Macaca mulatta: one gene and its partners. The protein of the gene in region 1 purifies or fractionates together with the protein of each later gene. This does not show direct contact. Links are inferred from orthologs where the notes say so. Each region holds a gene or a part of one and is shown in the gene's direction. Other genes may lie near its edges. The genes, in order: DPF2, ACTL6A, SMARCC1, SS18, SMARCD1, SMARCC2 and SMARCD2.

Region 1 (4,231 bases):
CCAACGGTGTAATGGGGGTCGACAGGCCCATGAGGACAGAAAATAGATCTCTAAATCTGCTGAAAGGGAGGTCGTGGTGACAGGAGCTGTTTCAAGTGAACAGGTGGGAACAAAGTTCCCATTAAACTGGATGGAAGCGGGACCTAGAAACAAGGTAACAGAGATAGGGAGTACTATTTGCTTTTAAAGGGTGAAAAGAGGTGATAGTTGAAGATTGACTTGGGCTGTTTTTTGGTTTTTGGTTTTTGGTTTTTTTGAGACAGAGTTGGCTTTGTTGCCCAGGCTGGAGTGCAGTGGCACAATCATGGCTCACTCACCTTCGACCCTCCTGTGCTCAAGCAATCCTGTCACTTCAGCCTCTAGAGTAGCTGGGAACACAGGTGCACGCCACCACATCCGGGTAATTTTTAAATTTTTAGTAGCGAAGAGGCCTCGATATGTTGCCCAGGCTGGTCTCGAACTCTTGAGCTCAAAGCAATCCTCCTGCCTCTGCCTCCCACGGTGCTGGGAGCCACTGTGACTGCCCTCCTCCTGCTCTTTTTTTTTTTTTTTTTTTTTTTTTTTTTGAGACAGAGTCTCGCTCTGTCTTCCAGGCTGGAGTGCAATGGCATGATCTCAGCTCACTGCAACCTCCACCTCCCAGGTTCAAGCGATTCTCCCCCTTCAGCCTCCCGAGTAGCTGGGATTATAGGTACCTGCCATCATGCCGGGCCAATTTTTGTATTTTTAGTAGAGATGGGGGTTTCACCACGTTGGCCAGGCTGGTCTCGAACTCCTGACCTCAGGTGATCCACCCGCCTCGGCCTCCCAAAGTGCTGGGATTACAGGCCTGACCCACCGCGCCCGGCTCCTGCTCTTATTTTTTTATTTTATTTATTTATTTTTTTGAGACCGAGTCTGGCTCTGTCGCCCAGGCTGGAGTGCAATGGCGCAATATCGGCTCACTGCAAGCTCCGCCTCCCGGGTTCACGCCATTCTCCTGCCTCAGCCTCCCGAGTAGCTGGGACTACAGGCGCCCGCCACCACGCCCGGATAATTTTTTGTATTTTTAGTAGCGATGGGGTTTCACCCTGTTAGCCAGGATGGTCTCGATCTTCTGATCTCGTGATCCGCCCGCCTCGGCCTCCCGAAGTGCTGGGATTACAGGCGTGAGCCACCGCCCCCGGCACCGCCTCCTGCTGCTCTAAATAGAAGAGGCGGCCCTCGAACCGAAGCTCCGGGACGCACGCCAGTCTCCGGTTGCGCCTGCGCGTCGGGCTCCCGTGGGGTCCTACCCGGCCCCCGGGAACAGGCCTAAAGTTCTTTCTTCGGTGCTCGCTCTCGTGCGCGCGCCCGGACGGCGCCTGCGCAGAGGGCGAGGAACCTGGTACCCCGGTGCGGTCCCGGCGCCTGCGCGCTGCGGACTTTGGGGCCTCCCGGCCCGAGGGAGAGGAGCAGGGAAGATGGCGGCTGTGGTGGAGAATGTAGTGAAGCTGTGAGTGGTGGTTTCTTTCTCTCCTAGGGCGGCAGGTTTTGTAAAGGGCCTGGGAGTAGGGGGCTGTGGGGAAAGGGACTAGGCGGAGAGAGGGACATCCCCGGGAAGGCCATGTTGCGACTCCTGGTGGGGAGGGCAATAGGAGACTCCGGAGAAGACGTTGCGCTTCTTTGGAAACTTGTGGAGGCCCTGATGGGGGCACACTGGAGCCCCGACGGGCAGCCTCTCTGCTGGGCTGTGTGGCCTCAGCGTTCCTCGGGGCTGACGGTTTCCAGAGCATGGCGCCCTGCCTGCACGCGAGACTCACCGTCCCGGTCCTCTCCCGAGACGCCTCAGTCCGGAGGAGCGGGGCCGAGGCCCGGGCGGCCCCACGGCTAACCCGCCGCCCATCCCGCCCCGTCCCGTCCGCTGCAGCAACAGGCTCGGTGGCCCCTGTGGGGTGCACTGCGGGGCTGGCTGTTTCAGTTCCAAGCAGCCCCGTGATGTTTGGGAGGATCTTGGGTGGCAGGTACCTAAGACTACAAATATTCTTGGGAAGCATTTGTCGAGGAGCGGATCCAAAAGGGGAGTGGGCCTTGGCGCCTTCCAGTGGCAACCATCAAAAACCTGCAACTGAACCAAAGCCGTTCAGGACAGCTTAGTAGCCTAAAGGGGCATCTAAGTGGGCATTCTTCCTATGATGCGATACCGTTGTGCTGGTCAGATTTCAAGCAAAGTTAAAGTTAATAGCTGTTGGGGCCATGGACACTGACCTATGAACTGCTTCCTGTGAGTTAAAGATACTTTGGGACTGACTTGATTTATTCCTACAGGAGAATCAGAATGAGTTTTAGATTGGGTTAATGCCCGGTGGGCGAATAGAGCTTCTTTTAATGGGTATATTGGGCTTGGTGCAAGGGTGGGAAAATTGAGTGGTGTCTAACTGTCCAGTCAGGGTTTTTGGATTTTGGCTGGGTGATGAGGTAAAGGTTCGGTAAGTATTCTAAGGGACTCACAGCTTCTCATCTGTCTTTGTCGTGGCCTGAGCCCCTCTCTTCCTAGGGGCCTTTTTAAAGAGTAAGTTGCTTCTCCCTCCTGCCTGAAGCCTTTTCTTTGAGAATGCTTTCCCACTTCCATTAAGCTAAGTGCCTTTCCTCCTCTTGTGGTTTTTTTTTTAAGTTGCTTTCTGCTCTATCCTGCTGTCTCTTTCAGCCACCCCTCCTCCCAACACTATTGTCTTTCTGATCTGCCCACTCCAGTTTCCCCAGCTCTCTCTTCAGGCTGACATTTTTCTCAATTTAGAAATGACACTGTTGATCTACCATTTATCCAGTTATCCTTTCTGACTCAGATGTTCTTTCTTTGTTTCCCTGTGTCTTTGTTGACTTCCTTCATCCCATTGTAAGGGGATGTTTTACACAAGTTTCTCCAAAAATAAAAAGAAAGATTCTCATTGTACTGGAGGAGTATCAGACTTGCCTAGGTTTTGAGAGTTAAACGTAGTGAGGCTCTTTGTGTTGGAAGGTTTTCCTCGGGGAAATAGGGTTGCCAGTGCTTTCAAGTTGTGTCATAAGTGAGGGGTTGCCCATTTAAACAGAGCATGACATCTTGTTTCTCTTTGAAAAACTGTAGAGGTTGTGAGCATCACCAGCCACTAATTCCTGAATGCCAGTAATGAGAAACCAACTCTCTCCTCCTCATTTCTAGCTGCACAGGGCCTCAGATCACAATTAATACGTACTCCCGCAGAATTATCCCTTTAAGAAGGGGCTTCCATTCTTCCAGTTAATTTGGAGATAATTTTCTGGCACTTCTCTTGATTATAGTGTACGTAGTCTTCTGACAGCTGATGTTATACATTGAGTATGTTGAGGTCGGACCACTGGCTCATCTTTTCTTTTTTTTAATTTTTTTAGACAGAGTTTCGCTGTTGTTGGCCCGGGCTTGAATGCAGTGGCACGATCTTGGCTCACTGCAACCTCCGCTTCCTGGGTTCCAGCAGTTCTCCTGCCTCAGCCTCCCGGGTAGCTGAGATTACAGGTGCCCACCACCACACCTGGCTAATTTTTGTATTTTTAGTAGAGATGGAGTTTCATCACGTTGGCCAGGCTGGTCTTGAACTCCGGACCTCAGGTCATCCACCTGCCTCGGCCTCCCAAAGTGCTGGGATTACAGGCGTGAGCCACCGCGCCTGGCCTTAAGAATTTTCTTATTTGTAAGTTTCTGTCCCTGCCAAATGTGACGTCAGAAATGGAAGTCTTGGCTGGGTGCAGTGGCTCACGTCTATAATCCCAACACTTTGGGAGGCTGAGGCGTGCTGATCGCTTGAGGTCAGGAGTTCGAGACCATCCTGGCCCACATGGTGAAACCCCATCTCTACTAAAACTATAAAAATTAGCCAGGTGGGGTGGCACACACTTGTAGTCCCAGCTACTCGGGAGGCTGAGGCACAAGAATCGCCTGAACCCAGGAGGCGGAGGTTGCAGTGAGCTGATGTCACACCACTGCCCTCCGGCCTGAGTGACACTTTAAGACTCTGTCTTAAAAAAAAGAAAGAGGCGACTGGGCGCGGTGGCTCTGTAATCCCAGCACTTTGGGAGGCCGAGGCGGGCGGATCACAAGGTCAGGAGATTGAGACCATCCTGGCCAGCATGGCGAAACCCCACTCTACTAAAAATACAAAAATTAGCTGGGCGTGGTGGCGTGCGCCTGTAATCCCAGCTACTCGGGATACTGAGGGAGGGGAATCGCTTGAACCCAGGAGGTGGAGGTTGCAGT
Region 2 (3,500 bases), on another chromosome or scaffold:
CCACAGCATTAGGTGGAAGCTATTTCCAGGATTACTGAAGCACATCCTCTTGTCTGCCCATTCTTTACACTGTTGATCTAATAATCTTTCTATTTTTATTTATTTATTTATTTGGTAGAGATGGAGTTTCACCATGTTGCCCAGGCTGCTCTCTAACTCCTGGACTCAAGCGATCTGCTTGCCTCGGTCTCCCAAAGTGCTGAGATTACAGGCATGAGCCACCATGCCCAGCCTCTAATAATCTTTCTAAAGTGCTAGTCTGCTTTAAGCTAGAATCATCTTCTACATTTCTTCCTTTTACTTTCAGACCGTACTGAGGTGCTTGCAGTTCTCTGACCTCGCTGTGTTCTCTTGCCTCCTGGTCTTCCCACATGCTCCTACTCTTGCCCATATTCCCTTCCCCATAATTAACAATTGGATATCCCAGGAATAGGCTTCTCTTTTACACCACCACCTTCCCTGGGACATCGTGAGCTTTTCTTTTTACAGCTTTATTGATCATCTACTTCACTAAACAGGATAACCTTCAGGGAAAAGGCAGTTTTGGTGCACCATTGTGTGTCTACTGTGTTAAAGGAATTTTAGTGCCAGGTGAGCAGCCTCCCTCTTTCCTCCCTCCCTCCTTATTAAGCACCAGACTTAGTAGACACCTAATAGATGCTCAGTAAATATTTGATGAATGAGTGAATGCCCCTACTCCTAAACTTCAGTTTAGTATATTCAGGTAGTATAGGCCTTCTGCAGCACAGAATGTGGAAAATGGGATCTGCCAATATTCACCAGCTGTGGAATTCACCTGGCATAGTTTTCCTGCCCATTGAGTTAGAGGAGATAGGAACTGCCATATGGCTTTGCCAAACTGCTGAAACAGGTCCTCTTCAATGCTATGTGAGAATGGTTATAGTCCCTAGCTCAGTTGTCACAACCTCCCACTGTTCTTACCAAGTTTCTGTACATTTTGTTAAATAAATGCATCTCAGTTTGTTGTAAGCGCTTTGATCAGTCTCCAGAGACTTTCAATGATTATGTTAATTTTGACCAGCTTAATAGTAGCTGTTTCTAGGATAAAGGTTTCCCTGAGTTCCTGATACCTCCATTCTAGAATTCCTGCCTCTTGCTATTTGTTCTTAAGCCATAAATATTATTTTATACCAATTTTTATCCCTAGATTCACTGTAATACATTTTTAACTATGAGATAGATGTTTAAGAAATAGTTTCTGAAATATAAGAGCCTGCCCTTTACAATAAACATTATTTTAGCGGCCTTGATACTTTCTTTTCCTTAATGTTTTAAACTAGATTTGCTAATGGTCGTTCTACTGGGCTGATTTTGGACAGTGGAGCCACTCATACCACTGCAATTCCAGTCCACGATGGCTATGTCCTTCAACAAGGTAAATGTATTTAACCAGGATACACTGAGATGATTTTAGGTGTTATGAGGACGCACATAATGAAATAAAATGATGAGTAGCACTTTTAAAGCATATCAGTTTCTGAATAAGATCATTTTTAAGTATGTTAAAAATCTTTAGTATATAATGTGTATTTAAAACTGATGCATTGCTTTATTTATGTGTTGAAGGATAGTTCATTTACCTGAAAAAGTTATTCATATAAATACACCCGTAGGGGAAATTCGTTCTAGGAAGTTTGGACTTAACTGCTCTCTTAGCCTTGTCTCATCTGTTTCATAGGCATTGTGAAATCCCCTCTTGCTGGAGACTTTATTACTATGCAATGCAGAGAACTCTTCCAAGAAATGAATATTGAATTGGTTCCTCCATATATGATTGCATCAAAAGTAAGTATTGAATTTTCTTTCTAGAACTTACCTCTAGCTCCCCCACCCCTATGAAATGAACTCCATTAACATAGCATCTCTTGGTACTCTCAGGAAGCTGTTCGTGAAGGATCTCCAGCAAACTGGAAAAGAAAAGAGAAGTTGCCTCAGGTTACAAGGTCTTGGCACAATTATATGTGTAATGTAAGTAACCCTCATTCTCTTTACAAAAATGTTATAGGCTTTTTGCGTGAGTGTTAAAAAAAAAGTTATATATAGGCTGTAAATCCTTGAGTAAAATATGAGCACTTTATATTTTCAAGCTCTTTTTTTTAAATTACTAAATATATTTTGAAGATTAAATAGAGCATGATCTCAGGATTACACTCTATATTTTTAATGATACTTTACTAACAAAAGAGCTTTGCTGTGAGAGGCATGCTTTTCATATTTGCCAAACAAATGTCTCTGCAAATCACTACATATTCACTTGGATTACTATGGTGAGACCTGGAAGGAATTTTTGTTTTATGCTATTCTGAACATTTTTGACTGAGAAAATGGTTTTAGGTTTTGGAGAGGCCTACTAGTATGTCTCAGTTATGTTCTGTTTCCCAGCATCAGTCAGCCATATCAAAAATGTGTTTTTGTTCAGAACAAGGAACCCATGAGAGATTCTCTACTAAAAACCCATCTCTGAACATATGGCTTACTGATGGGGAAGAGGTTAGTAAAACAACCTGACACCACAGATACACCTTAATTTCTTTTTGTTTTGTTTAAAAAAACTGTTATTTTAGGTTCAGGGGTACATGTGCAGGTTTGTGATATAGGTAAACTCGTATCACGGAAGTTTGTCATACAGATTATTGTCCCCCAGGTACTAAGCCTAGTACCCAATAGTTATTTTTTCTGCTCCATTCCCTCGTCCCTCAGGGAGGCCCCACTGTCTGTTGTTCCCTTCTTTGTGTCCATGTGTTCTCATCATCTAGCTCCCACTTGTGAGAACGTGCTGTGTTTGGTTTTCTGCTCCTGCATTAGTTTGCTAAGGATAATGGCCTCTAGCTCCATCCCTGTTCCTTCAAAAGACATGATCTCATTCTTTGTTTCTTTTTTTTTTCACTGTGGTCTGTATATACCACATTTTCTTAATCCAGTCTTCCACTGATGGGCATTTAAGTTGATTCCATGTCTCTGCTATTGTGAATAGTGTTGCAGTGAACATACGCATACATGTGTCTTTATGATACAGTGCTTTATATTCCTTTGGGTATATACCCAGTAATGAAATTGCCGGGTCAAATGGTAGTACTGGGCCAGGCATGGTGGCTCACGCTTGTAATTTGAGAGGCTGAGGTGGGTGGATCCCTTGAGCTCAGGAGTTAGAGACCAGCCTGGGAATCATGGCAAAACCCTGTCTCTACAAAAACAGAAAAATTAGCTAAGTGGGGCCAGGTGCGGTGGCTCACTCCTGTAATTCCAGCACTTTGGGAGTCCGAGGCGGGTGGATCACCTGAGGTCAGGAGTTTGAGACCAGCCTGGCCAACATGGTGAAATCCCGTCTCTAAAAATATTTAAAAATTAGCTGAGTGTGGAGGTGGGCTACTTGGGAGGCTGAGGCAGGAGAATTGCTTAAACCCAGGAGATGGATGTTGCAGTGAGCTAACATGGTGCCACTGCACTCCTGCCTGGGTGACAGAGTGAGACTCCATCTC
Region 3 (3,127 bases), on another chromosome or scaffold:
TGGGGCACCTGTAATCCCAACTACTTGGGAGGCTGAGGCACGAAAATTGCTTGAACCCAGGAGGCGGAGGTTGCAATGAGCTGAGGTCATGCCACTGCACTCCAGCCTGGGCAACAGAGTGAGACTGTCAAAAAAAAAAGAAATGAAATGAAAGGAAGGGAAAGGGAGAAAACGGTAGGAAGAGATGGAGCTGTCTGTGTTTTCCCATATGAGTCTATCAGGCGAGTGCTTCATAGTAACCTCTATAAGGAATGATTTTTTTTTTTTTTTTTTTTAAATCATACATGAGGCTTTTAATGGGAGAAATAGTTGTGGACAGGAATTGGGGATTCAAATCAGAATCCCCTTTTAATGGTGATTTCGCAGTACTAATACCCTTTCAGACAAACCTTCCCTGTAAGCCATGGAGCACAATCTGGACTGAGTTGTGGTCCTTTTACTGACTTTTACTTACTGACTTCCTTTTAAAGTCCTCTCCATTCCCTGTGGGCTGTGCTTGGCATTGTATATCCTCAGGAAGACATTTGACAATCTACTGCTCACCCAAACTAACCAGAGTGAGTGCTTTATTTTAGGGAACCTTTGCCATTTCTTTTTACAGCCACCTTCTTGCCAGTGTTTAGAATAATCAGTCATTCCACAGATCTACCCCCATTAACACCCTCCTCCAAAAAACTCAGAATACAAAAAGCTAGACGTAGAGATTATTACAGATTATTGCTCTGTTGGTATTTCAGATCCTCTGGAAGGTTGGATATTTATCTGTATTTAGGAGTTGGATTTAAGTTGATCCCTTTCTTATACCCCTTTCTAGTATACTTATAGTACTTTAAATCTCCCTCCACAGGTCAGATACCAGGCCCAGGTTCCATGATGCCCGGGCAGCACATGCCAGGCCGCATGATTCCCACTGTTGCAGCCAACATCCACCCCTCTGGGAGTGGCCCTACCCCTCCTGGCATGCCTCCAATGCCAGGAAACATCTTAGGACCCCGGGTATCCCTGACAGCACCTAACGGCATGTGTAAGTAACACGGTAGGGGGATGCATTATCCCAGGGTCTGTCCTGGAGGGCTGTAGATAAGGGAAGGAGGCTTTGTTCTCTCCCCGAGATTTGGCAGGTCCATGGATGATGCAGTCTGTGACAGTGGCTTCTAGAAGACCAGTTTTCAGTCTTTGTTCTTAGGCACCCCGATGGACAGGTGCACAGATGACAAAATGCTTCTAATCAGGGTTGTGCCTTTATGGCATGCACTGTCGGCATTGGGGCCAAAAAGATATTCCTCTGTTTAAGCCTGTCTCATTATGACTCTCAACAGACATGTAGAGCTACTGGTGGTGATTTTCCCTACAGCAGCCTTTTGTGGATACAGGGTTCAAAAGTGATGTGTGTAAAGAAAAGAAGTGAGTTTAGAGCTGGAATAACATATGTTTCTTGTAGCCATTCTTGATGTATTAGTAGTGGCTGTGTAGGCTAAGAAAGTAGTATTTGGGGTCTGTGTTGAGAGGAAATACGAAGTCCCAGCAAGCTCAATGAAGAAAGCACTGGTGCTGCTAAGTGATAGTTGTCTGAGGCTGTGTTTAGAGGCCAGGTCATTTCTCCCATAGGCTCTTGCTCGGCTTCAGCCTTGGCCTGAGGGTTGTTTCAGAGACCCTGGCCTGCCTTTTACTCCAGAAGGTCTTCCCAGTGAGGATGATGCTGAAATGCAGCCAATAGTGGGTCGGGTACCCCAGCCACATCTGTAATCTTAGGTTCATGTAGAAGTTCACGTGTGGCCAAAAGTTTAGCTACTATTTATAGTTCAGAAAGATAGGAAGCATAAGAATTCTTGCTCTGTAGGAGCTTTAGTTGGGAAAACAAGAAATGAAAACTTGGATAGAACTTAGCAAATGTTACATGAAGGCATATAGAACTTACCATAGGTTACATGAGACTACGATGTGCCTTAAGTACACTGTAATACTCTGGGAGGTTTCACAGACTGAGACGTGTCTTACTCTTCTCTGGCCCCCAGAGTCTGGGACAAAGTAGATACACAAAAGAAAGACACTAATTTATCTAGGTATATAAGATCACAACAATTTTTTTTTTAATTACCTCCCTTAAGCTAGTGGTCAGAGGTTGTATAGTACAGTTGGTACCTCTTTTTCTTGGCAAGAAAATGTTTGCCAAGCCACCCTGCAAACCGTACATAAATGAACCCGCCTGTCAGGAGAGTTGACCAGTTTTCCATCCCTGTTGCAGAGGTAGTGTCACTGGTCTTTACCAATTTACCACTGTCATGCCCTGCTGGTCACGCATGTTTTGCACTTCAGGATTCCTTCCCAAAGGGACCTCAGTAGAGCTCGTTGAGAATGTGGAGGGTTTCAGGTGGAACCTTCCCACCTGCTGCCTGGTTCCTACCATAAGTCAGTGCTCTGGGAATTCTGAGCCATGTGAATTGGTTCTAGGATACTAGGTAGGCCACACTGGATGAGTTGCTTCTCCACTTCAGCCCTTCATTTCCTCCACTGAAAGATGACACAAGGGATTAGATCAGTGAGTTTCAAAATGCATTGAAGAGTCTTAAGGGTTTGGTAGAAACCTCTTGGGCATAGAGTTGGGTGAATTGATTGGTGAGCAAGGCTGCACTTTGTTTCATATGTTTTCAATTCTGGCAAGATCTAGGGGTTTTTAAAACCCAGATTAAATGATCTCTAGGGTTCCTTTGTACACTAAAGCAGCTAAAGTTGACATAGGAAAGAGTCCCAGACACTCATACTAATTGTTCCCTTCAGGACATGACCTAGTTTGGGCCAAAAATCGAAGGACTGCAGTTCAGGAGCTGTGGAGGCCTCCCTGGACTATCCAGTTTGTCAGCAACTGCCTCAAGTGAAGCTCTCTGGCCCTGGTGGAGACATTTAAATAGCAAGAATTTATTGATAATCTCTTGTGTGCCCAGCTAGGCTAGGGACTTATGGGAGAAAGAAAAATAAGACATAGAACTGTCCCAGGAAGGAGCTTATTATTTAACTGAAGAAATAAAATTAGAACCATTGAAATACAATGAAATCAAAATTAACTTCTGAACAATTCGTGGAAGGAGTTGGCCTGGAAGGAGGGTGGGGGAAATTCAGACACCTCCCA
Region 4 (4,144 bases), on another chromosome or scaffold:
GTACGGTGGGGCAGTCATGGCTTACTGCAGTCTCCACCCGCTGGGCTCAAGTGATCCTCTCACCTCAGCCTCCCGAGTAGGTGGAACTACAGGTGCACACCACCACACTCAGCCAATTTTTAAAATTTTCGTAGAGCCAGGGGTCTCACTTTGTTGCCCAGGCTGGTCTCAAACTCCTGGCCTCAAGTGATTACATTTTTAAAACAATGTATTTTTCTTTATTTTTCCAATTTATATGAAAAATGGAAATATTTATTTTTTATTATTCATTAACGTTGTGTAACACTTTATATAAACTTTCCCTTTGTGTTATATGGAACTCTAAATTTACAGAATACTTTAAAACCCCACGGCAACACAAAACCGACATTTGTCCGTGTTCCTTCCGTAATTTGAAAATTTTGCCTTTTTCCCTTACACTGACTTGAAGCCTGGCAGCTTGGGCCTAATTTACAAGGCACTAAGCACTCTTAAAAAACAGAGAGTGAGGATGCCCTGTTTCACAACTTAATTCCAAAGAGCCAAGTCAGACGAAATCGACCCACTTTCCTGCTAAGGGTTTGTACCACGAGGCGAGCTCTTCTCTGTCCGCTCCAGCCAAGTTGGCCGATTGCCCCCGAGCACTGGACACAACCTTGGTGTCCCGGTTTCGGGTCAGGGTTACTTTCCAATTGTTATGCACGACTTTGTGCGTGCGTGCGAGACTGTGGACTCGGAGGTGCGCATTTGGGGCGTAGCCGAGCCATTTAAACCAGCGAATCCGCGTTCACCTTATCCTTCCACCTCTGTCCTATCTCGGCAGATGCTCCACGGATTGGCACGAACTCCCGAGTGCTGACCTTCCTCCCCTCTCCGGGCTGCCCGGACATTTCGGGGCAGCGACTTCTTGCCAGGAGGCGTAAGTAAGGATGAAGTTGGAACAACTGAACTAGGTCTAGGGCACGCTCCGCAACGCAGTCGGGGAGACGCTTCAGAGCGCGGCGGGGGAGGCAAGTTGCAACCGCGCGAAGGGGGCGGGCCGGCTCGAGCCGCTCGCATTTCCTGTGACAGGGGCTGCCCCAGCCTCTCCCTCTCCCGCGGCGGCGGGACCATTTCCTGAATCGCTGAAGCGGAGGGAGGACTAGGGCGCGACTCTACCATTAGCGCGAAAGGCCAGGGGGTGCCCACAAGGAGAGGTCGGGGGATGCGAGGACGGTCAAGAAAGTTCGGCCGGGGCTGCGGGTCCCCCAGAGTGCGCAGAAACGAGACGTCCCTGGGCCAGAGTGCCTCCTTCAGGCCTGCCCCGCCGGCCGTCCGCTTGGCCCTGGAGCATCCCCCCTTCCCGCATTCCCGAGGTGGTTCAGCCCGAGAGGCCGGCGTCTCTCCCCCAGTTTGCCGTTCACCCGGAGCGCTCCGGACTTGCTGATAGTGGTGACGGCGGCAACATGTCTGTGGCTTTCGCAGCCCCTAGGCAGCGAGGCAAGGGGGAGATCACTCCCGCTGCGATTCAGAAGGTGAAACCGCGCGGGGTTGGGGATGCCAGGCCCTTCCCGCCTCTGGGAGAGACGGACACGGGGGGAAGGGCCGGGCCCGGAGTCGACCGGGCCGGGCCAGGGGCGGAGGCGGAGGCGGGCCTGCTGGGAAGCAGCCGTGTGTGGGAACCGGGGCTGCGGCGTGTGCCTGAGTTGGTGGCGGAAGAGGGTGAACCGGTTTTTCTCGGAGTCTTTCGCGCGTTTACGCGCTTTTCTACAGACACAAAAGCCCAAACAGCCGCCGCCTGATTTCTCTAGGGATGGGGCGGCGTTCGGGCGGCGGGGCGCGTGCGCCCGGCGGCGGCCGCGCTGGGAAGGGCGTGTGTCGGGCCGGGCCCCGCGCGTTGCTCCGGAGTTACTTTGGCGTCGTCCCGCCCCGCGCGCCGCGGCTGCTTCGTGCGGACCCCACCGCGGGCCGCTGCTGGCGGAGGGAAGTCGGAGCGCAGGTCGCTGCCCTGCAAACTCAGCCGAGTTTGGGAGCTCTCAGGAGAACTTGGGGAACGCTGGAGGGAACCTTAGTAGAGTCTGAGGAGCGGGCAAGGAAGGTCCCCATGGACTCTGAGGTTATCCCCAGAGCCGCCTCTTCCCTTCTACATCGCCGCCTATTCATTTACTTCTGCAGCAAGTATTTATTGAGCGCCTATTTTAGGCGCTGAGGCGACTGTGGTGAGTCATGGTCCCTGCCTTCCTGGAGCTTACAGTCTAGTGGTGGAGACTTCTGTCGTAACCAGTTAATATAAGTCGTGATAAATACAGAGGGAGCTGCCTCCTTTTTAAAGGATAGTGCTGCTACAGTCGCTGCTGTGTTACTGCCTGTCGGAACACAAAGGTTCTTTATTGTCCTCTACCCCTTGTTGCCTACTAGCAAGGCAGCATTCTAAATTTTACTGACCTAGGCTTTCAAAAGTTGCTGCTATATTTAGCAGTTTACCTTAAATATTTTTGTTTTGTTTTATGCCGTGTAGCAAAGATCAAAATAGAAAAAAAGGTCAAGTTTTAGTACCACTCAGACCACATAGATTGTGCTAATCGGTTTCTGTTTACTGTCAGGTTCTTCGTAGTGTGGCTTTTGACATTTGCCCAACTGTTGCTTTATTTTATGAACAAACGGGCTTGGCAGTGCCTGGAAATGCAGTGCTTTCATATAGTACTCTGAGTTAAGTCTACAGCCTGGCAAACAGCTCCAAGTACACACTTACCCAAAACTGCGTTTCTGGGGGGTTCACCTTTTTTTATTTTTGTACACAGGAAAAGTCCAGAGTTTTTCTTTTTTCTATAGTTTCTCTTACATACGTCTTAAGATATTTATCATGGATAATGATTAATTCCGAGTATGGTGATCAATTTTTTTCCATTCTCAGCTGAACAGAAACATGGGCTCCAAATTAAGTTCCTTATTCTGCAATGGGAGAGATTGATATTAGATGTGAGACACATATTTTAATGGTGACGTTCAGTAGTTTGAGGAATATACTGGAGATAAGTTGTGAAATCATTAGGTTGAGGATTTGATTCGTGCATTTTAAAGACTTTTTTTGGTCATACAATGATTCTATCTAAGAAATAACTGCATTTATTAGTAGATCATGTTAGTGGTTTTTTTCCCCCAGTAAGTGAAGATTGTGATTCACGTGCAGAAAAAAAGTGACAGTTAATGTTAAATGGATGTTCCTTTTATTGAGATAGAGTGATTATGGTATTGTACTAATACTTTTGAATCCTGGTAGGGTGGGGCAGGTTCTGGAGGAGCATCTCCTGAGTCCCTTGATCTTGGAGCTGAATCAGCCTCTGAAAACTTAAGTGACTTGCTCAAAATGGCAAAACTGGCACTGAAACTAACTGGCCTTTTAATTGCTACAATCAGTACTCTTTCTTCAGCTCCACTTTACTTAGATGAATTATTTAACCCTCAAAGCCAAGATTACTTTGAATTGTTAAAAGATGATGGAATGATAAATCGGTATCTTTTTCCTCTTAAACTTTTGAGACAGCGTAATTATGAAGTAAACTCATAAAGTCTGTAACAAATATTATACATGCATAGAAATTACTATGTTTAATTATTATCTCATAATTGGAGAATCACAAAACCATGCTGTTATAAAACTTGGAAACTAGCCAGTTACTTCATCAAGACTCCTGGGCTGAAGTTTTCATGTATTTATTTCATTCTGGAGAAGTACAGAATTTTTCTTTACTAATCCAAACCATTAGAATGATGAAAAGCCAACTCGGACTCTTAACTTTAGTCTTAATTGGCTAAAGCTTCTATTACAGATAGCAGAGGTAATTAAATGTTTGATATAAAAGAATTCAGATTTTCGTTTCTGGGCTTGTTTATTCAGAGGGAGAATAATTGGAATATTAAAACGTTATTGATTAAACATGGTATCATTCCAAAGGTGTAAAATTAGGATTTTTTTGTGGTGAGCTATCGTATATATTAAAAAGACCCAAGAGGATTCAATTTCTGTATAGATGCAATATTTCTAGAAATCTGAAGGGAAAAAAACTCAGTTACTGAAAACATTGTCCATATGAACTGTGCATGGCATAATTTTACAAGAGATTTAAACAGTACGTAATGAAATTTTATGCAAGAGAGCTGCTGATTCACTAATCTTGCTTTAAAT
Region 5 (3,942 bases), on another chromosome or scaffold:
AGACTGTGGTCCTCCTGGGATGGGACGGCTGACCATCGTATCAGGAATAGTTTGAACCACTGGGCAGGGAAAGAGGGAGGAGTCAAAGGCAACAAAGGTCCAAAACAGAATCCCCATCACAAACAATGCTTTAGAGAGAGAGCAGAGTCAAAATTCAAGATAAACTGGAACTTATTATAAAATCTGAAAGCAGGCTGGCACGGTGGCTCACGCCTGTAATCCCAACACTTTGGGAGGCTGAGACGGGCGGATCACTTGAGGCCAGGAGTTCGAGACCAGCCTACGCAACATAATGAAACCCCCATCCCTATTTTTTAATATTAAAAAAAAATCTGAGGCCAGGCACAATGGCTCACACCTGTAATCCCAGCATTTTGGGAGGCTGAGGCGCGCAGACCACTTGAGCTTAGGAGTTTGAAACCAACATGGGCAACATGGTGAAACCCTGTCTCTACCAAAAATACAAAACAGCCTGGCATGGTGGTGCATGCCTGTGATCCCAGCTACTCGGGAGGCTGAGGTGGGAGGATCACTTGAGCCTGGGAGGCGGAGGTTGCAGTGAGCTGAGATGGTGCCACTGTGACAAAGAGAGACCTCATGTCGAAAAAATAATAATAATAATAATCCGGAAGCAGGTTAGGTCGGAGACAAAGTTAGGTTGAAGTTCCCACGTGAGGTAGTTATTGAGGCACTTTATCTGTGGAATGAGTCCTGGGCTATGAGCAAGAAGACCTGGAATCTTGGCTTCGGCTTTATGACTAACTTGCTGGTTGACCTTTGCCAAGTCGTTCACCTGTGAGTTCAGCTTTCCTATTTGGAAAATGGAATAAACTGTGTTTCCCTCCTCAGCCCCTGATAGTTATAGCAGTAAGAAAATGAAACGAAAAGCAATCAAAGCGTTTTGGGAAGTTAATGCCATGCGCCAAGATGAAGCTATTACTCCAAGCACCTCATCATCAGCGGGCTGGAGTCGGGGTTGAGACTGGGGCTGAGGCTGTGGTCCGTCCCCCTTTCCAGGTCCTTGTCTACCTCCCGTCGGCCTGGGGGCGCCCGCTCACGGGGCCTCTCTATCCCAGAGTTCTTCTCTATGGTTTTCCCTCCAGGACCGTGAAGGCGGGAGGGCGTGGCCAGCACGCCTTTTCCGCTACTCGCTCCTCTCTAGGCGACAGTCTCGCTGCCCTGAGCCTCCCGTGCCGGCCAGCCGGCCGGGGGAACAGGCGGGCGCTCGGGGGGCGCTCAGGGGGCGGGGGGAGTTCCGGTTCCGGTTCTTTGTGCAGCTGCATCGGCGGCTCCGGGAAGATGGCGGCCCGGGCGGGTTTCCAGTCTGTGGCTCCGAGCGGCGGCGCCGGAGCCTCGGGAGGGGCGGGCGCGGCTGCTGCCCTGGGCCCGGGCGGAACTCCGGGGCCTCCCGTGCGAATGGGCCCGGCTCCGGGTCAAGGGCTGTACCGCTCCCCGATGCCCGGAGCGGCCTATCCGGTGAGTGGGGCAGGAGGAGGGACGCGCGGGCCGGGGGCGGGGCCGAGCGGGGACGTGGGAGTGACAGGGGTGGGGGGAGAAGTAGGAGGGACTCCCTTGGGAGGGGTTCGGGCTCTGGGTGGGGGTTGGGGGAGGCAGTGCGCAGGAAGAGAGGGGGAGGCAGTTGGCGTCCACACCTGCTCCTAGGGGCATTGTTTCCGTGGGGAGTCGGTAGAGAACCAGGGTGGGTGAAGTGGGTCCAGGGATACCTGTACGAGGGCCGGAGTGCAGAGGGGCTTGAGCAGCTCCATTGATCAAAGGAACACAGAACGTGTAGTTGACAAATTGAGGTCAGCTTCTAAAGAGATAGTAGCTAGCAGAGTAAATGTGGAACTGGCGATGTCCGATGTGTCCGATCCAAAATAGACCGATAATTTGAGTATAATCTGGCTCTCGCTTAGCTTTTGGACTCTTTATTTTTCTGTGGAGTCACTGCTGGAGCAGAGGGTTCTCGTCTCATTGTCCTCCATTCCATCCGTAAACCTTACTTCATTCAAAGAACTCAGGCGTTCCCTGCTTTTCTTTCTTGGTGGGGTTTAGCAGGTGAAACCATGACATCTCTGGGTCCTCTCCCCTCTGTAGAGACCAGGTATGTTGCCAGGCAGCCGAATGACACCTCAGGGACCTTCCATGGGACCCCCTGGCTATGGGGGGAACCCTTCAGTCCGACCTGGCCTGGCCCAGTCAGGGATGGATCAGTCCCGCAAGAGACCTGCCCCTCAGCAGATCCAGCAGGTCCAGCAGCAGGCTGTCCAAAATCGAAACCACAAGTAAGATGATCCTGGGGCAGAGGGAGGGAGGGAGGGAGCCTGGGAGTACACAGGTGGTGGGATTACCTGAACCAAGAAGTGGTGGTGCTGTGTCAGCAGATGGTGCTACAGGATGATTGAGAATGCTTGGTGGTGGTGGTGGTGGTGGTGGTGGTGGTGGTGGTAGTTCTTTGATTTGAGAGAAGCTTTGCAATCCCTTCACATTACTATAAATGGACATGCTGACAGCTTATTTTCACGTTCTGACTAGTTCTGTCCCAACCTGATAATAGTGTTTATTCCCAACAGTGCAAAGAAAAAGAAGATGGCTGACAAAATTCTACCTCAAAGGGTGAGTCCAGGCTGTTTTCTGGAAAGTGTGGTAGGTTTGAGTATAGAGATGAATCATCCTAGATTTCAATTAATTTTTCTGTTCCTAAGATTCGTGAACTGGTACCAGAATCCCAGGCCTATATGGATCTCTTGGCTTTTGAAAGGAAACTGGACCAGACTATCATGAGGAAACGACTAGATATCCAAGAGGCCTTGAAACGTCCCATCAAGGTAACACAGGAAGTTACTAAGCAGAGAGCCAAAGGAGAGGACCCAGGAACCTTCAGCAGGCTTAGGATGAGAAATCAAAGGCACAGCACAACTCTCCTTGGCATTTAAATTGTATCTTTCCCTTCCGCCTACAAACTGAGAATTACATTAGGAGGATAAGAACAGAATGGCAAAGGGGGAGGGGCTCTTGATGTCTCTTGCACTACAAATATACCCTTGTCCATGTTTTTGCTGTAACTGCTCTGCTACCTTGGGAACCTGGCACCTTGCATGACTTTGTCCACCTGGCATCCCACTGTATGCACTTGTACTTAGGCTGATGGCCAGTACTCCTCTTCTAAATGGAATCTTCATCCACCCACCCAAGGGACTGGGTAGACAGTAAGCCAGTCTGTTAGGAATAATTTTGGGGTTTGGGGAGACTCTTGTCTTCAACATTAGACCACTGAAGCCCCACGATCAATCCTGTTTCTGCCTTCCTCAGCAAAAACGGAAGCTGCGAATTTTCATTTCTAACACTTTCAATCCGGCTAAGTCAGATGCCGAGGATGGGGAAGGGACGGTGGCTTCCTGGGAGCTTCGGGTAGAAGGACGGCTCCTGGAGGATGTGAGTTCAAGGTCCACAGTGGTTGGCATCTAGGGTGGGAGCTGCTGGGAATGAACAGTGTTGTCTGGTCAGCAGGAAGCCTAACTGGTGCTCACAGCTCCTTTTGGGAGCAGTAGGGAGAGGGACACTGTTCCCTGCACTGAAAGACAATGGTCCTTTGTGTTTGCCCCCACACCTTTGGCCTTCACTGGTATCATATGGAGAACCTTATTGTCCTGGGATCTGATTTGTGATTTACCTTCCTCTTGGTGCTGCTGGCCATTGGATTTAGCCGTATCTGTAGATTATTTAGTTTTTGTTTTGTTTTGTTTTTAGTCGAGTTTGCACTTAATTTGAGGCCGTGTTTCCTCTCTGAGTTCTTGTGGTATCTCCATCTTCTCAACTTTCATTGGAGGCACCCCATAGTTTTAAGTAGGATAGATTTCTCTTGACAGGCTCTTTGTTGCTTCCTGGGGAGCATCAGCTGACAGGTGATAGCCCCCAAACTTCCCAACCCAGAAGCTCCTC
Region 6 (3,944 bases), on another chromosome or scaffold:
CGCAAAAAGTGTGGTGGCGCATGCCTGTGGTCCCAGCTACTCGGGAGGCTAAGGCAGGAGAATTGCTTGAACCCGGGAAGTGGAGGCTGCGGTGAGCCGAAATCGCGCCACTGCACTCCAGCCTAAGCAACGGAGCGAGACTCCGTCTTAATAATAAGAAAGAAAAAAAAAAAAAAGCCGTCACGAACAGGATTCGAACCTGTGCGGGGAAACCCCATTGGATTTCGAGTCCAACGCCTTAACCACTCGGCCACCGTGACTTCCAAAACCGCATTTTGCCGCGCGCTTACAGAAGGGGTCCGCACTGCAATCGGGGACTACATGCGGGAACCGGAAGCAGGGTACCGGCCTCGACGCGCACTCACCTGAGGACTCCCCACCCCTTGGTTCCTTACCTCCTATCTACGCCACCCAGAGAAAAAGAGTCGGATGGACCGGGTGACCCAGGGAAGGAGGGTCTCCTGCCTAGCGAAGAGTCGGAGTCTCAAGGAGCTCACACCTACTTAGGAGGTGACAGCGAGGCCAGCGGAGGAAGCAGTTGAGGAAGGCACTGGGTCCCCAAGGTGGCGGCTAGGGGACTTTTGGGTTAACAAGTGAAGGGGTTGCTGGGTGGACAAGCGCGAGGGGTGAGGGAGACTCAGAAAAGTTTAAATGGGGAGATGCTGGGAATGGATGGAAGGAAGGAACTTCTTGGGGAAAGGGTTTTGGGGTTTTGGGGGACGAGGGGCTCCGTCGGATTAGGAATGCGCAAGGTGAGGGCCACTCGGGGCAACGGGTTGGGGCTGCTCCAGCGACTGGCGGCCGCCTGGAGTGGGATAGCGAGGTGACACTAACGGGCTGAGGCAAAAAGAGGGAAGGGCTTCGCGTCTGGTAAGAGGGATCTCAGGAGAATGGCGCCCCCTCCAGGAAGAGTCCTTCTCCCCGGAGGCTCCCGCCGCCGCTGCCGGGTAGGCCACCAGGGTCGGCCCGCGCCTGGAGCTCCTCCGCCGCGCCCGGCCTGCCGGCAGGGGGCGCAGCGCGGACCGGGGCCGGCCCAGGCGGCGGGAGGCGGCGGCCGCGGCGGCGGGAGGCGGCGGGAGGCGGGCGGAGGAGGAGGCGGAGGAGGCGGGAGCTGAGCTGAGTGGGGCGGGCGGCGGCGGGGCCCGAGCCCGAGAAGATGGCGGTGCGGAAGAAGGACGGCGGCCCCAACGTGAAGTACTACGAGGCCGCGGACACCGTGACCCAGTTCGACAACGTGCGGCTGTGGCTCGGCAAGAACTACAAGAAGGTACGCGGGCCGGGCCGGGCCGCGCGGGGACCGGGGGCGGGACAAAGGGACCGCGGCCCTGCAGCTCCGGGATCCTGCCCACCCTCCAGGCGCCCCAGCCCCTCCCCTGCGGCCTTCGGAGCAGCCCCCCGCGCGCCCTCCCGCGCGCCCGCGCCCCTCCCCCAGCCTCCCTCTCCCCGCACCCCTAGCCTCCGAGCCTAGCCCCCGCCCCCACTGCTGCGCCCTCTGCCCCTTGTTTTTCTCTACTGCCCGGCAGGCCCCGGTGCCATTAGCCCACCTTCCCCTCAGCCATCGCCCTCCTGGCTCTTCTGGGAGAGGCGGCCGGCCGGGTGTGGACCGGGTGCCCAATGGGTTCCCCCGCAACCCGGAACGTGCCCGCCAGAGCTCCCCATGGAGCCGGGTACCGGTGGGGCTGAGGCCTCCCCGGTGCTTTGTGTATGTTCAGAGAGAGGATGGAAAGCAGGAGGGTAAACAGTCACAGAGCAAGTCGTTGGCTGCTCATCAGCTTGAAAAAGGTCCCCACCCAGGGATCACCTGTCTCCGCCGCTCATCCCCCACCTTCATCTAAGAGGCAACAGAATCTCTCAGGGAGCTGGGGTATAGGAGTTCCTGGGTAGCGACCCCTTCCAAAACCTTTCCTCGATTTTGCAGTGAAGTCACCCTGCAACCTAGCTTTGCAGTACCGTGGGTTTGGGGTCAAGAGGTTAGGGTGAGCGTTCTATCTCTAGCCCCTCACCCCGAAACCCCATAACTGGCGATCATAAGGTAGTGAACAAAGGGTTTAAGAATCCTTACCTGTCTTTTCTACTAGACCTCTTCGTGGTGTCGTCTTTGTCTCTAGGCCTGGTTTTCCCTGGAAATAGTCTGCCTCTCTTTTTCTCACTACCCTCAGAGAGGGGTTCTCTTTGTGGCTTTCTTTCAGCTCCCCATTTCTTCCTGCCGGCTTTGCAGCTCGTCAGAAGTGTGCTTAGTGGCTTAGGAGAACTTCCTACTGATCCTGATTATGAGCCTAGCCCTGCCCTTGGGGTCTCTCTGGGTGTCAGAATCTTGACAAATAGCTGCTATTTCTATGGCTTGTTTCTATGCCTGTGAGAGGCTCTTGCTTTGACCTTTTGCAGGGAGATCAAGCTAGGGGCTGAGCCTCCGGCCTTGGTGGGGATTGACAACTGTGACCTGGTTCAGCTTCCGTGCTCTTAGCTCTTTGTCATTTACCTTTCCCTTCACATATCTATCTCTCTTCACCTCTCACTGAGAGGCGCTGTCTTCTTTGTGATGAGGGGGGAGAAAACGGGTCAAAAGGTAAAAAGAAAGTCTCCTGGCTCAGGTTCAAATTATAATGGAAGGCTAGGATGCTACTAGGTAGCGAAGTGTGGAAATATTGAGGTAGAGCCAGGGTTACTTGTCTCGGATACAGTTTCCTCAGACAGGGTAGATGTTTTCTTGCTCTTCTCCATCAGGCTGGTGAGGCCCTTCCTGTCTAGGAGGGCTTATGAAGAACTTTATACCCAGTCTTCAGGAGCAAAATGCACAGGCTCACTCTCAGTCAGCTTGCCCTCCTTCACTTCCTTGTACCTTTTCTTGTTAGGCTACATTATAGGGGGAATCATGGCTTTACACAGAGTTCTCCTAAGAAATGTCTCTCTTAGAGCTCCAAAGGTATTGCTTCCATGATCTGAACTCTATAAACCTCCAGAATTTTAACAACCCTCAGTGCTGTTGGTTGAGGATGAGGTGCCAAGATAATAGGGTCCTGCAACTCTAATTTCAGAGTGTAGCTGAGGAAGAGTAGTAAGCTTCCCTGTTCTCCCCAACACTGGCCATCTGGGCTGGTGACAGCAGAATTTCAGCTTCCTGGTTGGGATGTCCAGAGCCTCCCTTTTGCCATTTTCTTTATAGAGACTAAATAGGGAGAAAGGCACTGTTTTCTTTGCTCCAGATACTTCCAGAGCCCCTGGGGGAGAAATGTGGAAGATAGTGGACAATTTATCTGAGATCTATTTTTCTTTCCTTTCCCTCTTTTCCGTTAGTATATACAAGCTGAACCACCCACCAACAAGTCCCTGTCTAGCCTGGTTGTACAGTTACTACAATTTCAGGAAGAAGTTTTTGGCAAACATGTCAGCAATGCACCGCTCACTAAACTGCCGGTGAGTGCAGAAGTAGGAGAGAGGGCGGGGGGTGGTGGTGGTGAGTCCACCAAACTGGAGAGTTGTATTTTAAAAAAAGATTCGTGAATTTTGTAATTTTTGAAATTTGGGTTATTTTCTACCATCCCTATCCCTGGTCAGGGCATTATTGGCTTGGCCTAGTCTCCAGTTTACCATTCTTTTTGTCTTAGTAATACTTTGTGCAACAAATTATTTCAGAGTGCCTGGGATCAGTCCACAAGTCTCTCATGGCATGGTTAAAAGCGGACTTGAGATTTGGATTTGTGTGGGCTTGTGTTCAAATCCTGGCTTTGCTACTTGATGGCTGTGTGATCTTGGGCAGCATTCATGAGTCTTGGTTCCTTCATCTCTAGATGGGATTAGTAAACCTACCTTGTAGGGTTTCTATAATGGCACCTGAGATAATCCAGTAAAGTGTTAGCACAAGGTGGTGCTTTCTGTATATTGGTTTCTTTCACTCCCCTCTTGCAGGCCACATGATGCAATGGCACAAGGGTTAAAGAATTTCA
Region 7 (4,274 bases), on another chromosome or scaffold:
TGTTCTAGAAGCTTAAAAAGGATTGAAATGTATATTAGTTGCCTTATCATGAACTCTTAACCCACTTTACAGGGATGGGAGGGGCCATGATTCAGTGACTTTAACAATTCCAGTGACCAGTCCCCAGACTGACAGGTTATCAACTCTTGGGGCAATAGAGTGGTATCTCTGAGAAGTCCAGGAGGTAAGAAAGCAGCAGCAGTGGGGTTTATCGCTAGAGACAGGAGGAGAACTAATTTCTAAAAAGCGTTGGAAAACTATAAAAAATATCTGGGGTGCTATGATGCAAGAAAGGAAGCATTACTTGGTGGGGGCTGAAAAATAAACCAATTATAGTAAAGAAAAAAAAAAAAAAGTCTAGATCCTGGCTTCTTGACAGTATGGTCTAAGAAGCAACAGCATCGCTGGCAGCTTGTTAGAAATGTAGAGTCCTGGGCCCTGCCACAATCTGCATTTTTAATAAGAGCCTCGGGTGTTTTTTATGTGCTCATTAGGGTTTAAGCAGCACTGGGCCGTATCACGGTGAGGAGACCCAGACCATCAAAGGGACAGCTGAAGCATTTTTGAATACTTTGATACAGCACAGTGTATCTGAAAAGATACTGCATTTTTGAAAATTAAGTGCTATAAATACTAGAGAAAGACCTCTTTTTAAACTGCGGGGAGGTTTCTCATAAGCCAAATTTCTTTTGACTAGAAGCATTTGCTGGGGAGTAAAGTACCAGGCTTCCTTATAGTGAGGCAGAGCCACGTTAAAAATGTGCTGTAAGAGCTCAGCCTTGGCCAAGTCGACCATTCACCAGCTGGGTCAAGTCTGGAGCCTCCTAGGTCCCTTGGCAGTTCCGAGCTACCAGGATGAGCTTTTACAGGAAGTTGAGTTGGCTGCTGTTCTGCCCCAGAGAGCAGCTGAGTCTTTTTTCTTTTTTTGAGGAGTTTCACTCTTGCCGCCCAGGTTGGAGTGGAGTGGAGAGATCTCGGCTCATTGCAACCTCTGTCTCCCGGGTTCAAGCGATTCTCCTGCCTCAGCCTCCCGAGTAGCTGGGATTACAGGCGCCAGCCACCACTCTCGGCTAATTTTTGTATTTTTAGTAGAGACGGGGTTTTCACCATGTTGGCCAGGCTGGTCTCGAACTTCTGACCTCAGGTGGTCCACCCGCCTCAACCTCCCAAAGTGCTGGGATTACAGGCGTGAGCCACCGCTACCGACTCTGAGTTGGGTCTTTAATGTGGAAGATGCAGAAAGGAGACTTGACAAAACTATTTTCGGTGAGGCTGCTACACCGGGAAAGAGTAGTAGCAACTGCTCATTCACTGTGAAGCCTCAACGTGACCTTAGACCTCTGACCCCGCGCCTCACTCGGCGCTTCCGCGCGCAGCTTCCGCTCCCGCCCCTCCGATGAAGGGCGGGGCCAAAGGTGGGGGGTGGGACTCTGAGGTCGGCGGTTAGGGGCGGTGCCTGCTGGGGGCGGGTCTCGCGAGGGGCGGGATTCAAGGAGGCACTCGAGCATTGGGCACCAGGTAGAGGCGGGGCCTAGTGCTGGGCTGGGTTGGGCGGGGCAGGGAGTTCGTAGCCGCCTCTGGGTAACTCGACTCGGGCGGCCAAACCTCCGGAGTCCGGGGGCGGCAGGCGGGCCCACAGCAGATCCTGGATCCGGAATCTCCGGCGCAGGAGCGGAATCTGTCCCGAACCGGGTCTGTGAGGAACTCGCGAACTTGGATTAGGAAATCCCGGAGCCCGGATCGACAAATCCCGGAACCCGGAATTAAGATCGCCAAGTCCCGGATCGCGGAGTACAGAGCGCGGAGTGGACTCGACGCGTAGCCCGGAGTCCGGATCGCGGCACCGCGGGACGGGACGGAGCGATGTCGGGCCGAGGCGCGGGCGGGTTCCCGCTGCCCCCGCTAAGCCCTGGCGGCGGCGCCGTGGCCGCGGCCCTGGGAGCGCCTCCTCCCCCCGCCGGACCCGGCATGCTGCCCGGACCGGCGCTCCGGGGACCGGGTCCGGCTGGAGGCGTGGGGGGCCCCGGGGCCGCCGCCTTCCGCCCCATGGGCCCCGCGGGCCCCGCGGCGCAGTACCAGGTGAGTAGGGAGGACGCGAGCGGACGGGGGCGTGCGGCGCCGCGAGGGCGCCCGGGCCGGGGGCTGAGGGGGCCTCGAGTGAGGGCCTTGGGGAATGCATGAGGAACTTTGGGAGACGGTGGAGGGCGGGCCAGATCCCTCGGGCTGCGGCGGGTGGCGGTGGAGGAGTGGGGAAGGGGGAGCGAGTCCTGCAGCGGAGGGCTGGAACCAGCTGGGAGGCCTGGGGGCTTCCGCGGCACAGAGATTCCGAGTGACTGGGAGATGGAGGAGTTTGGGGAACCAGTGAATTGTGGGCGGGTGGGTTGAGAAGTCTAGGGTAGGAGGGCTAGAAAGTGATGAGAAAGTTTGGGAAAGGGCCCTCGCTGAGAAACCGGGGTTACCCTGCATCGGCCTTGGTCCCACTCCAAGTCTGCCCTGTTTTTTCTGGTTGCGAACTGGCCGAGCTCTAGCGTGTCTGAGATGGCTCCCGGCTGCTAATGAGGAGGAAGGAGCCTGGCTTCCCACGGGCACGGGACGCTGAGGCTAGGGCCAGGGGATTCATTCCAGCTTGTGCACGGGCGGACTTTACTCCAGAGGCAGGGCCAGGCGCCTTCGCTGGGGAGGACTCCAGCTTAGACCAGAGACGGTGGTGGCCAGGCTTGAGGGGAGGCCCAGCCTAGTCACAGGCCGGCTCTCTTCTGGGCTTTCTGCCTCCTGTCATCGTGTCGGGTAGTTGATTAGTCTGGACGTGCAGAGTGGAACCCTGCTGGTCTGGGGCCCGAGGAGTCTGCGAGAGTTGCTTCAAAGAGTGCTGTCCTGACCCCTTTGGGGTTTTGAGAGCTGCTCAGGTTTCAGCTTCAAAAGCCCTTGGAAGGCAGCGACTTCTGCTCAGTGTGTGAGAACCTCAGCCTGACCCTGCTGGTCCCCTAGTCTGCTGTTCAGGTTGCACCAGCAGGCTTGGAAACTGTGCCCATCTGCCTTATCATCCTCTCTGCATTTTTATTTGGCCTTCAGGTTCTAACTCCGCCACATCCGAAGCCATATGCCCCAGCATTTGACACTGGCTTCTCCCAGGGTCTGCTGTGGGCTTCCTCTGTTTTCGACTCCTGTCTCCAGGCGGAGGTCCTTAGGGATCCTCGTGGAGTATACACAGCCTACCTGCCCCACTGGGCCTCACATCTAAGGAGATGGCTTAACTAGGGACAGTGACTGGATTTTTTTCCCTTCTTCCTCCTCATTCTTCCTCCTTTCTCAAGAGAAAACAGAGTCTGGATATGGGCAGAGACAGACCTGGTCCCAGGGACTCCAGCTGGGGCTCATCTTTCCCACCCTACTCTCCCCCTTGGGGATTCATGGGCCCAGGGTGTTGCTGAGGGCTCCCTGCATCAGTCATTGTAGCCCTTGGGCCTGCCCACTGAGACCTGGCCTGGGCACCATCTGTGGGCCTTTGGCCTTGGAAGGACCTGGAACAGACAAGCCGCTCCAGTTTCCTTGGCATGCAAAAAGTCATAGGAAATGTGCCCTTGAGACAGCCCCTAAGAGAATGGATTCCACATGTTTGGTGGGGGGTGGCCTTGGGCTTGTGGCAAGGCCAAGCTGGCTGGCTGGTTAGGCCTGGGCTGCTAGCTGTGGGGAAGTAGGAGATGGCCCTGAGTCTGGGTTTCCCATCCCACTAGCTTTCCTCCTCCTGGCAGGAGAGGTAGATGGTACAGAGAACCCAGCCAGCTAACTTTGGCTGAGTTTGAAGAGGATCCTACTTGCTCTCTTTCCAAGTCCAGTTGTATGACTTCCAGGGGGGACTTGAGATCTGGGAAACAGAGGGGTTCCTGTCTGTTAGGGCTCATGAGATGTGCTGGAAAAGCGAGAATTTGAGGCCCAAGCTGAACAAATAGTTGAAAGAAGGGAAGTGATGACCTCCCTTCCTCCAGAGGGTGGTTCTGGCTGTGGATCACAGTTAACAGAGGAACCTAAAACAAAAACAACAACAAAAAACCCTCCAGGGCAGGATGTGGTGGCTCACACCTATAATCCTAGCACTTTGGGAGGCCCAGACAGAAGGATTACTTGAGATCAGGAGTTCAAGACCAGCCTAGGCAACATAGTGAGACCATAATTTCTCAAAAAAAAAAACCCAAAAAAATTTAGCCAAACTTGGTGGTGTGCGCTTATGGTCCCAGCTAGTCGGGATGCTGTGGCAGGAGGATTGCCTGAGTCCA

The links.
Region 2: the proteins of DPF2 (region 1) and ACTL6A purify together in Homo sapiens (affinity purification with mass spectrometry; 5 studies listed by BioGRID and IntAct, counting the BioPlex papers as one, with this or other methods). This does not show direct contact. The link is inferred for Macaca mulatta from reciprocal best matches to the Homo sapiens genes DPF2 and ACTL6A.
Region 3: the proteins of DPF2 (region 1) and SMARCC1 purify together in Homo sapiens (affinity purification with mass spectrometry; 9 studies listed by BioGRID and IntAct, counting the BioPlex papers as one, with this or other methods). This does not show direct contact. The link is inferred for Macaca mulatta from reciprocal best matches to the Homo sapiens genes DPF2 and SMARCC1.
Region 4: the proteins of DPF2 (region 1) and SS18 purify together in Homo sapiens (affinity purification with mass spectrometry; 4 studies listed by BioGRID and IntAct, counting the BioPlex papers as one, with this or other methods). This does not show direct contact. The link is inferred for Macaca mulatta from reciprocal best matches to the Homo sapiens genes DPF2 and SS18.
Region 5: the proteins of DPF2 (region 1) and SMARCD1 purify together in Homo sapiens (affinity purification with mass spectrometry; 9 studies listed by BioGRID and IntAct, counting the BioPlex papers as one, with this or other methods). This does not show direct contact. The link is inferred for Macaca mulatta from reciprocal best matches to the Homo sapiens genes DPF2 and SMARCD1.
Region 6: the proteins of DPF2 (region 1) and SMARCC2 purify together in Homo sapiens (affinity purification with mass spectrometry; 8 studies listed by BioGRID and IntAct, counting the BioPlex papers as one, with this or other methods). This does not show direct contact. The link is inferred for Macaca mulatta from reciprocal best matches to the Homo sapiens genes DPF2 and SMARCC2.
Region 7: the proteins of DPF2 (region 1) and SMARCD2 purify together in Homo sapiens (affinity purification with mass spectrometry; 6 studies listed by BioGRID and IntAct, counting the BioPlex papers as one, with this or other methods). This does not show direct contact. The link is inferred for Macaca mulatta from reciprocal best matches to the Homo sapiens genes DPF2 and SMARCD2.

What each region holds. Positions count from the first base shown.
Region 1 is NC_133419.1:9,062,655-9,066,885, reverse strand, and holds the start of DPF2 (zinc finger protein ubi-d4), read left to right. Parts: upstream 1-1,431; 5' UTR 1,432-1,442; coding exon 1,443-1,474; intron 1,475-4,231. UniProt on the Homo sapiens protein: Plays an active role in transcriptional regulation by binding modified histones H3 and H4. Is a negative regulator of myeloid differentiation of hematopoietic progenitor cells. Might also have a role in the development and maturation of lymphoid cells.
Region 2 is NC_133407.1:91,585,643-91,589,142, forward strand, and holds part of ACTL6A (actin-like protein 6A), read left to right. Parts: intron 1-1,301; coding exon 1,302-1,396; intron 1,397-1,699; coding exon 1,700-1,806; intron 1,807-1,899; coding exon 1,900-1,989; intron 1,990-3,500.
Region 3 is NC_133407.1:110,954,493-110,957,619, reverse strand, and holds part of SMARCC1 (SWI/SNF complex subunit SMARCC1), read left to right. Parts: intron 1-847; coding exon 848-1,024; intron 1,025-3,127. UniProt on the Homo sapiens protein: Involved in transcriptional activation and repression of select genes by chromatin remodeling (alteration of DNA-nucleosome topology).
Region 4 is NC_133423.1:66,321,113-66,325,256, forward strand, and holds the start of SS18 (protein SSXT), read left to right. Parts: upstream 1-1,344; 5' UTR 1,345-1,424; coding exon 1,425-1,493; intron 1,494-4,144. UniProt on the Homo sapiens protein: Appears to function synergistically with RBM14 as a transcriptional coactivator. Isoform 1 and isoform 2 function in nuclear receptor coactivation. Isoform 1 and isoform 2 function in general transcriptional coactivation.
Region 5 is NC_133416.1:57,257,752-57,261,693, forward strand, and holds the start of SMARCD1 (SWI/SNF-related matrix-associated actin-dependent regulator of chromatin subfamily D member 1), read left to right. Parts: upstream 1-1,142; 5' UTR 1,143-1,299; coding exon 1,300-1,476; intron 1,477-2,097; coding exon 2,098-2,285; intron 2,286-2,573; coding exon 2,574-2,616; intron 2,617-2,705; coding exon 2,706-2,828; intron 2,829-3,312; coding exon 3,313-3,435; intron 3,436-3,942. UniProt on the Homo sapiens protein: Involved in transcriptional activation and repression of select genes by chromatin remodeling (alteration of DNA-nucleosome topology).
Region 6 is NC_133416.1:63,339,511-63,343,454, reverse strand, and holds the start of SMARCC2 (SWI/SNF complex subunit SMARCC2), read left to right. Parts: upstream 1-1,144; 5' UTR 1,145-1,156; coding exon 1,157-1,267; intron 1,268-3,294; coding exon 3,295-3,414; intron 3,415-3,944. UniProt on the Homo sapiens protein: Involved in transcriptional activation and repression of select genes by chromatin remodeling (alteration of DNA-nucleosome topology).
Region 7 is NC_133421.1:73,636,762-73,641,035, reverse strand, and holds the start of SMARCD2 (SWI/SNF-related matrix-associated actin-dependent regulator of chromatin subfamily D member 2), read left to right. Parts: upstream 1-1,474; 5' UTR 1,475-1,863; coding exon 1,864-2,157; intron 2,158-4,274. UniProt on the Homo sapiens protein: Involved in transcriptional activation and repression of select genes by chromatin remodeling (alteration of DNA-nucleosome topology).